Cricetulus griseus: one gene and its partners. The protein of the gene in region 1 interacts with the protein of each later gene in a pairwise test. Links are inferred from orthologs where the notes say so. Each region holds a gene or a part of one and is shown on either strand. Other genes may lie near its edges. The genes, in order: cyclin-dependent kinases regulatory subunit 1, Meox1 and Arid5a.

Region 1 (2,135 bases):
TTTTTGTGCCAATACCAAGCTGTTTTCAGAACTATAGCTCTATAATAGAGCTTTAAGTCAGGGATGGTGATACCTCCAGAAGTTCCTTTATTTTTTTATTTTTTTATATTATAAAAACTTCCTTTAATCAAGGCTTGTAACATGGAAGAGATTTGTCAGATAAAATGGAAAGTTTCCAATATATTGAAACATAAATCCGTAAGTCACCATAAATACAATACCCAATAGTAAAAACCACAACAGGAAATTCACACTATCCCTGTAACAGCCATGATCTGATTTTCACATGCTTCCCAGAGATGGCAAGTATGGATATGCCTACTGGATAAAGAGCACACCAGGTCTTTGAGGTCACACTCATCTGACAGGTTGTGGCATTGGTGGCTCAGCTCAAGAAGCAAAGCAGGTACCAACACAATCAAACAATGTTTTGAACAAACATCCTTTAAATGTCAAAGTGAGAAATAAGAAAGCAACATAATCATGCTATCAGAAGGTGTAGGAAGGAAGGACAGCTGTGTAAAGCTTGAGTTTGAAAGGTGGTTCAACAGCTTCATTTCTTTGGCTTCTTGGGTAGTGGCTGCCGGAAGAGTAAGATGTGAAGTTCTGGTTCATGGATCATCATATAATGGACCCATCCTTGACTCTGCTGAACGCCAAGATTTCTCCATTCAGATTCAGACATCAAATGCGTTTTAGGGACCAGCTTGGCTATGTCTTTGGGCAACATGACATGCCGGTACTCGAACTCCTCGTCATCGTATTTGTCCAAATAGTAAATCTGTTTGTGCGACATGACTGCTCAGCCCGAGGGCCCTCAGCCCCGCACCGCCGGCCTCCTGATGACTCCCAGAAGTTCCTTTATTGTACAGGTTGTTTGGCTATCCTGGGTTTTTTGTTTTTCCATATAAAGTTGAGTATTTTTCTTTCAAGGTCTGTGAAGAACTGTGCTGGGATTTTGATGGGGATTATGTTGAATCTGTAGATTGCTTTTGGCAAGATTGCCATTCTTACTGTGTTGATCTTACTTATCCAAGAGCATGGGAGGTCTTTCCATTTTCTGGTATCTTCTTTAATTTCTTTCTTTAAAGACTCAAAATTCTTATTATACAGGTCTTTCACTTGTTTGGTTAGAGTTAGCCCCCAAGATATTTTATGTTGTTTGTGGCTATGGTGAAGGGTGATGTTTCTCTGATTTCTTTCTCAGCCATATTCATCTATATATAGTAGGGCTACCTTTTTTTTGTTGTTGTTGTTAATCTTGTATCCTGCCACTTTGCTGAAGGTGTTTATCAGCGGTAGGAGTTCCCTGGTAGAATTTTTTGGGTCACTTATGTAAACTATTATATCATCTGCAAATAGTGAAAATTTGCCTTCTTCCTTTCCAATTTGTATCCCCTTGATCTCCTTTTGTTGTCTTATTGCTCTAGTAATGGGTTACCTCCAGCCAGCTCTGGGCAAATATGCTACAGAATGTTTGCAGAACTACAAAATCCCCTAAAATATATTTTTTTTTCTGAAATCTTCCCATCACCAAGCAAAGCATGACTATATACTGAATGAAGAAATGAGGACATGACTGCTCCAGATATGGTGGAGGACAAGATTTATTGTAGATATGAGGGAGACAACAGCCAGAGGCATCTGGAAGGGTCCATATAAACTGTGCCATGAGAGAAGGGGTGCAGGGGTAGGAGTGAGAGGAAGAGAAGAGTGGAGAAAGGAGGAGGCCAAGAGGGGAACCAAGAGACCAAGAGACTGCATGCTCAAAAAGGTTGAGATTATAGGGGGATCAGAGGCTGGGGGAGGAGAAACCCAGACCATGGGCTGAAGAGAGGTTGAGGCTAGGGGGCAGCATATGCCACTCAAGATGACTCTGTGACAGGTTATTTGTGAGTAGGGACTGAGAGAGACTGGTCACCAGAATCAGCTTTGATATGTTAAAGAGGCACCTCAGCCATTTGTCTGTGGTTTCTGTGAGATCTAACGTTCCAGCCTTTTGTGGGTGATAAAGGGTGATGGAATCTTTTCTATTACTGCTTCCTGCTGGAATGGCATCTGTGTTGGGGCCCAGGAAGGCTGGAATGATGGCCAAAGAATGAGAAGAGAGGAGTACAGGCTGGTGGGGAGGGGAG
Region 2 (2,883 bases), on another chromosome or scaffold:
TCCTGCATGCTAGGCAAACACTCTACCCGTGAGCTACATCCCCAGCCCCATCTTTTTTTTTTTTTTTTTTTTTGGTTTTTCGAGACAGGGTTTCTTTGTGTGGCTTTGAAGCCTATCCTGGCACTATCTCTGGAGACCAGGCTAGCCTCGAACTCACAGAGATCTGCCTGCCTCTGCCTCCCGAGTGCTGGGATTAAAGGTGTGCGCCACCAACGTCCGGTCCCAGCACATCTTTTGATTTCCTTGAAGATAGTTCCTTAGGCTGGACTCAGTGCCCTGTGCCCAGGGTAGCCTTGAGCTCACAATCCTCCTGTCTCTACCTCCCAAGTGCTGGGGTTTACAGGTAGGTGCCACAACACTTGGTTTTCAGAATCTCCATTTGAACAGTTGCCTAGGTGAATCGGAGGCAAATGCTGGTTCAAGTTTGGGGGAAATCAGATCTCAGCTGTTCTAATCCTTGGTCACATGAGAGTTACCTGGGAGGCCTTTGAAAACCTGGGCTGCCTAAGTTCCATCCCAGACCAATTACAGTCACCTCCATGAGTAGAACTCTGATAATTCTCCCTGAGATGGTTGATTGTCAGGCACAGTAGTGGTTGAGAACCACTGGCTGGGTAGAGGAAAGGAACGGTGTTCAGGCAGGGGCCATGTAACGGGAGATGAATGGACAGCAGAGAAGCTCTGACAAGCCAGGGACCCCACCTGCCGCTCTGAAAGGTCCAGGTTGACTGCGATCTCGTATCTACGCAGCCTGGTCAGGTAGTTATGGTGGGCGAACTCAGCCTCTAGCTCCCGCAACTGCTCCTTGGTGAAGGCGGTCCTTTCCTTCCGGGCCTTGCTGCTACCTTCCGGTTTTCCTCCATTCTCCTGGTTGTCTGTGAAGAGAAGGCCCCAAATGGAGGAGACATGAATGAGCCGCCAGGGACTCAGTTCCCTTCCATTAGTCCGTTAAATAGCTGGGCAGCATTCTGTGGCATCTGTCATTCTTTTTTTTTATGATTTATTTAACTTTATTTTATGTGCATTGGTGTGAACTCAAGTTACAGACAGTTTGTGAGCTGCCATATGGGTGCTGAGAATTGAACCCAGGACCTCTGGAAGAGCAGTCAGTGCTCTTAACCTCTGAGCCATCTCTCCAGCCCCAGCCTCTGTCATTCTTAAGATGCTCAAGAAATATTTTTAGTCCCAGTCTCAGGTGCATTCAGAACCCCCTCCCCCTAACACACCCACAAGATTTCTCCAAGGCACATGAAACTGGGCTTGACTGAAGTCTCTGTACCCAGTTAGTGCTAAAAGCTGAAGCATCGCCCACCCCAACCCCACAGCAACCTGTTTTGACAAGCCCTCCTGATCATTCCGGTGCAGGGTCAAGGTTATACACCACTGCTTTAAGACCAGATTGCTGGAATATTCCCTGGGCCCCAGCAGTGTCAACGGGACAGGGAAGCTGGTCATACACACTGGAGTCTGCTCCAGAAGGGCAAGTCTGGAGAACCTTCTGGAACTCTTGGGCTTCTGTTAGACATAGGGGTTCAGTCCTGACCCATGACAGGGCCAGGAAACAGTGTCCCTACCTGCATTTGCTTCATCCTCTCCACACTAATCCAACTGAGTGGTTTCAGTATTGATCATGTTTTACAGACCAAACACAAGAATGAATTCACCTAATTGCTAAGTGGGGGAGGACCCAGGCGATTTGATTCATACACTGTCCCAGTATGAGATAGTTTTGTTCACAGTTCACAGACTGTGAAGTCTGGTGCAGATGGACAGACTGCATCTAGAATGAAAAGGCCTTCCTATTTCAAGAACTGGCTGCTGGCTGTGCCTCTCCGTTGACAGCTGTAGTGACAGAGGCCATAGGCAGGGGACGAACACATCTGTAGAATTAACTAACAACTAACAAGACTGGACAGTCAACTGCCACAGGAACCCTTCCTGCCTGGGCAGGGGGACATAAGACATCGGGCTTTCTCTTCCATACCTCTTTTTAGTCTTGGAGACCCTGGGTCAGGAAATATGTTTTATGCGAGCTGTGCTCTATCTAATTACATTGGTACACACCTAGCTGAGGTCCTTAGTCCTCAGAGACTTTGAGCACCTGCAGGAAAGGATGCAGGCCCGATGAGTCAGGCAAGGGAAAGCACTACACCCTCAGCTTCGAAGCCAACTTGTGGAGATGGCTGGGGACCCCACTTGAACCCTGAGATCCCATTTGTAACTCTGATCCTGGCTGCTTCCCCTCTCAGGCAACCTGTTTGTACTTTAGGTTTTTTTTTTTAGCTGTCATCTCCTCATCCGGCTGTCTGGGCTGGGGAGAAACCAGGAGGGTGGCTGGAAGTCACAGGAGTGGGGTGGGGGAGGGCGCTCACCTCCCAATGGGGTCCACGGTGGAGTCCCCCCACAGGCTAAGGGAGGGGGTGAGCCAGCCACTGGCTCCTGGCCAGAAAAGGTGGGCCCAGACCCGTCATGGATGCTGGAGCAGCCGCAGCGTGGTCTGGACTGGAAGGATGTGCAGCCCCGGGGCGGGTCCCCTAGGAGTCCTCTGGCCTTGGCCACTGCCAGCGCCACTAACCCTCCTGGCGGCAAGCCCGGCAGTGTCGGTCACGAAGCAGCGGATGCGAAGGCCTCCCCAAGTACATCTCAGCCAGTTGAGGCCAGGAAGCTGGGGAACCCCTGTCCCGGGGCCACGGATTTTCCCAGCCCCTCTTTGTCGCAGTTGCAGGGAGTGGATGGGCCAGGGGAGTTTTAATGGGGATTCAATCTCAACTGATCTTTTTCCCAAGAAAGTGGAGAAAATAAAGCACCTACTTTCAAAGCTAATCTTTTTAAAGACAGAATTTCATGTTCGGGCTGGCCTCAAGCTTGAACGGCAGTGGAAGA
Region 3 (4,089 bases), on another chromosome or scaffold:
CATTGCAATACAGGGTACCATTTGTAACCTGTAAGGAAGGAAAACCACTGGACACTACTGAGAATCCCTGAAGAAGGGGGGACCTGCTCTCTGGGTAGACAATGGCTTTGTGTAAAGGGGGAAGATGAAAGTAGTGAGGGATACCCTGTAGGATTCAGTGAGGCTGTGGGATAGGTGATCTAGAGGCCCCTGTATGCCTGCCCCCTGCCCTGCCAGCCAGTGAGCTGAGATCAGATGAAACCTTGCAGGATGGAGGAGGAGGGGGCTTTAGTACCACATGGATGCCTCTTGTCTATTTGTTTGCTTGGGTCTCTCTATGTAGCCCAGATTGGCCTTGAATTTATGGTTCTCTGGATCAGACTTCCCAGTGTTGGGACTATAGGCATGCTCCACCATGCCATGCAGGGTGTGTCTCTTATCACCTCCATCTCTGCTTCTGTAGGTCTGTTCCCTCATCTCTGTAAGACGGGTGTGCTAGACTCAATGGCCAGTATTCTAAGCTTGAAGAAAGCAAGAAATGAGGCTTTCCCAACAAATCACAAGTGAAAGTGTGCACACACCCATACTGACACCTGCCTGTCCCCATGGTATCCGATTCTCCCTAGGGTCCTGAAAGACTGGTCTAAGTCTGCGGGATGAGTCTCCTTGATCTGGGAACTCTGGTGCTCCCGGAGTGTTCAAAGCCACACACCTCCCATGAGCTGACAGGCTCGCAAGGCGTGGGCACCACTTTCCTTCTCTCTCTTTCATTTGCCTACCCCAGTCACCCTCAGTGTGATGGGAAGGAAGTGACACTTCCTTTCATGAAAACTCACTGACTGGGAACACGACGTCAATTACAACAATAATGGCAGCGGCAGGCAACCTCAATAACAACCAGCAGACACAGCCCCGCCCCCTTGCCTGAGGTTGTTGGCTTAAGTTTCTCTTAGCTCAAGCTGGAGAGGAAACAAAGACAGCCTTTGAAGCGGCCAGTCCACTCTGTGGCCCAGAAGCCTGCTGCCTGGCATTCTTCTCCTTGGGCTTGCTCCAGTGGGCAGTTTGGGGAGGCGGTGGGGGCGGGGTAGTCCTGTCAAGGGCCAGCCTTGAGGACAGCTGGACAGGAGTATGCGGATCCTGAACCAGCCAAAGCCTAGCCTTGGCACCTCTGCCAAGGCAGGGAGAGCAAGGTCTGTTAGTGACTAGAGACAAGATGGGAGTTCTGAAAGGTAAGTAAGGCAGAGAGGGATATATGGGCACCAGGTATGAGAGTCCAGAATCCCAGTGCTACCCAGCTCTGAAATAGTCTAAGAGATCCTACTCCTGGAAGGACTGAGTCCCCATGGCCCCGCCCCTCTGTCCATGTGTTTGGTGAAAACAGCCCTATATATGGATCATTTCCGGTTTTCCCACCCCACCTATGGAGAAAAAACAGAGCTCAGAGGGGTGACTCAACAGTAGAGGTAGAACCCTTACACAGGGTACTTCCCTACCTAACCACTTTTCCATCCTCCTCCCATTCTCCTCGTCCCACCACGGTGGCTGCTACCCCGGTCCAAGAGGGAATGTAGACCATTTATAGACCAGCTTCCCACCCAGAGCAACAGAAGGGCACCAGGAAGGAGTGAAGGGCAAGGAGGCTTGGAAGCCTGGCCCTCACTCGCTATCAGCCTGAGTCTGCCTCTCCGATTCTATGTAATAAAAGAGAGGTGGGGGTTGATTCTGAGGCCCATTCCACCTCTGTCGCTTCAAGTTCTAGGCTAAGCAATCAGTCTGGACTCTAACTGCTTGGAGACCAGACTCTCAAGCTAGCATCTCCCACCCTCCCCTGCTCTGGCATGCTGGTTAGGCACTGAGACCCTTAGATGCGTATCAACTCCCAACAGTGTCCACGGGGCGGGGCAAGGAGCACCTGTTACCCTCCTTTGGCTGCTGTGACCCGTCCTCTGAAACGGAAGACTCTGCAAACAAGGAGATGCAGGCTTGGAGCAGCACGACTTGGGATGAATTTGAGGCCTTCCAGGCCCAGGATTGGCAACCCCACTGCGCCTGTGGGCCAAGGCATGGGGTGTGACCCCAGCCAGGGCATATGATGCCTGGGCGGTGTGGAGGGTCGCAGATGTGGTGGCGTGGTTGTGCCCCTAGTTCGAGCTTGAGATCAAAGCCAAACTTGTTCGTTGTACTCTGGCAGCCTGCCCTTCTGTTCTTTCTCCACTAATCACCCCCAGTCCAAGGCCACCACCCGGTCTCTCTGGAGAGACCCGAGGGAAGAGAGGGTAAGTCAGAAGACCGGGCAAGTAAAAAGGAGCATCTTTCCTGCCAGGGGCTGGAAAGAGAAAGAGAGAAACAAAAAGAAAGGGGAAGGGAAGAGAGAAGAGAAGGACCTGAAGCCTGAGACCGTCAAACCATCAGCACGTCCCTCGGCAGAAAGAGGAACCATTGATTCTTCAAAGTGCATTGAGCAAGTTCTTCAAAACCCGCGCAGTCACTTTCAGGAATCGCGGCCGCAGTGGGAAGCGCGGCGCGCGGCCCGGGCGCCTCCGGTTCTGAGAAGCGCTGGGCTGGCACGGGGCAGGGAGGGGCCCGCGGCCGAGAAGCTGTTGCTGACAGCTGTCACAACAAATGGGCCCAGAGCAGCTTGAGATTGAAACCGCAGCAGGAAGTGTGGGCGGCTCAGTGAATTTCAGTCCAGAGCCGGAGAGGAGAGTTTCGAGATAAACGCCTGGGAAGCCCCTGGCCGCCCCGACTTTCCACGAGGAGAGAGCACACAGACACCCGGGTTGACCCGCGGGTCGCGATCGCTCCGGGTCCCCAGCCCTCCGACCCCGGCGCCGCCCGCCAGCCGCTTACCCATGGCCCAGCGAGATCGCGCGTCGCTGACCGGAGACCCTCGACGAGCGGAGCCGTCCGGCCCCAGCGCTCTCGGCGCGACTGACTCGCGCTGCGGCTCGACTGCCGCCACCCCGCGGTCCCGCCCCTGGTCCCGCCCCACTGCGCTCTGAGCTCCTATTGGTGGATCCTATCTTCTGGGGCGGGGAGGGCTCCGCCCCTTGAGCCCGAGGAAGTCTGGAAGTTGTAGTGTGCGCTCACTTGTCTGCGAGGGGTTCATGATGCACACTCAAGAATCATGGCCGCCCTGGGTCTGTTTCCCTAGAGGCAAAACTAGAGTCTTAGAAAACTGCCCGCTCTCTCCAGCGGGGTTAAACAAAGTGCTTCTGACTTTGACCTCAAGTGGTCCTGGCCAATTCCATACTATTCAGCTTTCATTCACACAGAGAGGTAAGTACCTTTAGCCTACCAGGGTCCAGTCTAGAAAGTTCGTGGCTCAGGCCTAATGCCCTAGGCCTGCCCGCAGTGCCCATGTCCACATATGCCATGTAGACTGAATGACAGCCACAAGCTGAACAGTGCAAAGAGGAAGTGAGGGAGAGAAGGGTGAGGCTTGTGGTGAGTGGGGACAAGAGGAGGCAGAGCAGTCAGTTGGACCTGTGTGGGTCATAGAAGATGAAGCTAAGACTTGGGATTTAAAAGCAGAAAGCCTCAGCAGCCGAAAAGCTTGGACTTGAACTCTGTTCCTAGTATGTAGTTGGTATCCCCAGAATCAAATTCTGTTCATTAATTATTATATTCATATAGCTCTCTGCATTTCACACCATCATTGTCTGCATTTTATAGAGCAAAACAGGCCTGGGAGATTTATTACCTCATATAGCTCATCAATGGTGGGGCTAGAGCTCAACCCAGGAATAGGGACACAGATGAGGAGGGCTCCACAGGCATCCTCCCAACATTTCAGTGCTCCCCTTCACACTGAGCAAGTGGACCTGGCTGCTTTTGGTGACTCTGATCCTCAGGCCCTTATCCATCAGCTCTGGAATGGCAGATCTGCAAGCTCAGCCTGGAGCAGGCATCACTGGGCTTGGTGGGACAATTGTAACAGCCAGCCTTCAAAGATCGGGTAACAGACACACTGTTGTCAATATTTATTAACTGGTCAGAATAATCACCAGAATAACCATTGCAACAGTACCTCCCACATCTAAGATTACAAGCCATACTCCACCCCAAGAGACCTGAATCGGCAGAGATGCTATCTGCCAAAAGATACCA

Evidence for each region.
Region 2: the proteins of cyclin-dependent kinases regulatory subunit 1 (region 1) and Meox1 interact in binary tests that used the Homo sapiens proteins (3 or more experiments, as listed by UniProt). The two-hybrid records come from large-scale screens. The link is inferred for Cricetulus griseus from reciprocal best matches to the Homo sapiens genes CKS1B and MEOX1.
Region 3: the proteins of cyclin-dependent kinases regulatory subunit 1 (region 1) and Arid5a interact in binary tests that used the Homo sapiens proteins (3 or more experiments, as listed by UniProt). The two-hybrid records come from large-scale screens. The link is inferred for Cricetulus griseus from reciprocal best matches to the Homo sapiens genes CKS1B and ARID5A.

The regions. Positions count from the first base shown.
Region 1 is NC_048596.1:133,403,028-133,405,162, reverse strand, and holds cyclin-dependent kinases regulatory subunit 1, read right to left. Parts: upstream 835-2,135; 5' UTR 797-834; coding exon 554-796; 3' UTR 508-553; downstream 1-507.
Region 2 is NC_048600.1:116,217,374-116,220,256, reverse strand, and holds part of Meox1 (homeobox protein MOX-1), read right to left. Parts: intron 876-2,883; coding exon 703-875; intron 1-702. UniProt on the Homo sapiens protein: Mesodermal transcription factor that plays a key role in somitogenesis and is specifically required for sclerotome development. Required for maintenance of the sclerotome polarity and formation of the cranio-cervical joints.
Region 3 is NW_023276807.1:11,889,665-11,893,753, forward strand, and holds the start of Arid5a (AT-rich interactive domain-containing protein 5A), read right to left. Parts: upstream 2,947-4,089; 5' UTR 2,834-2,946; coding exon 2,830-2,833; intron 1-2,829. UniProt on the Homo sapiens protein: DNA-binding protein that may regulate transcription and act as a repressor by binding to AT-rich stretches in the promoter region of target genes.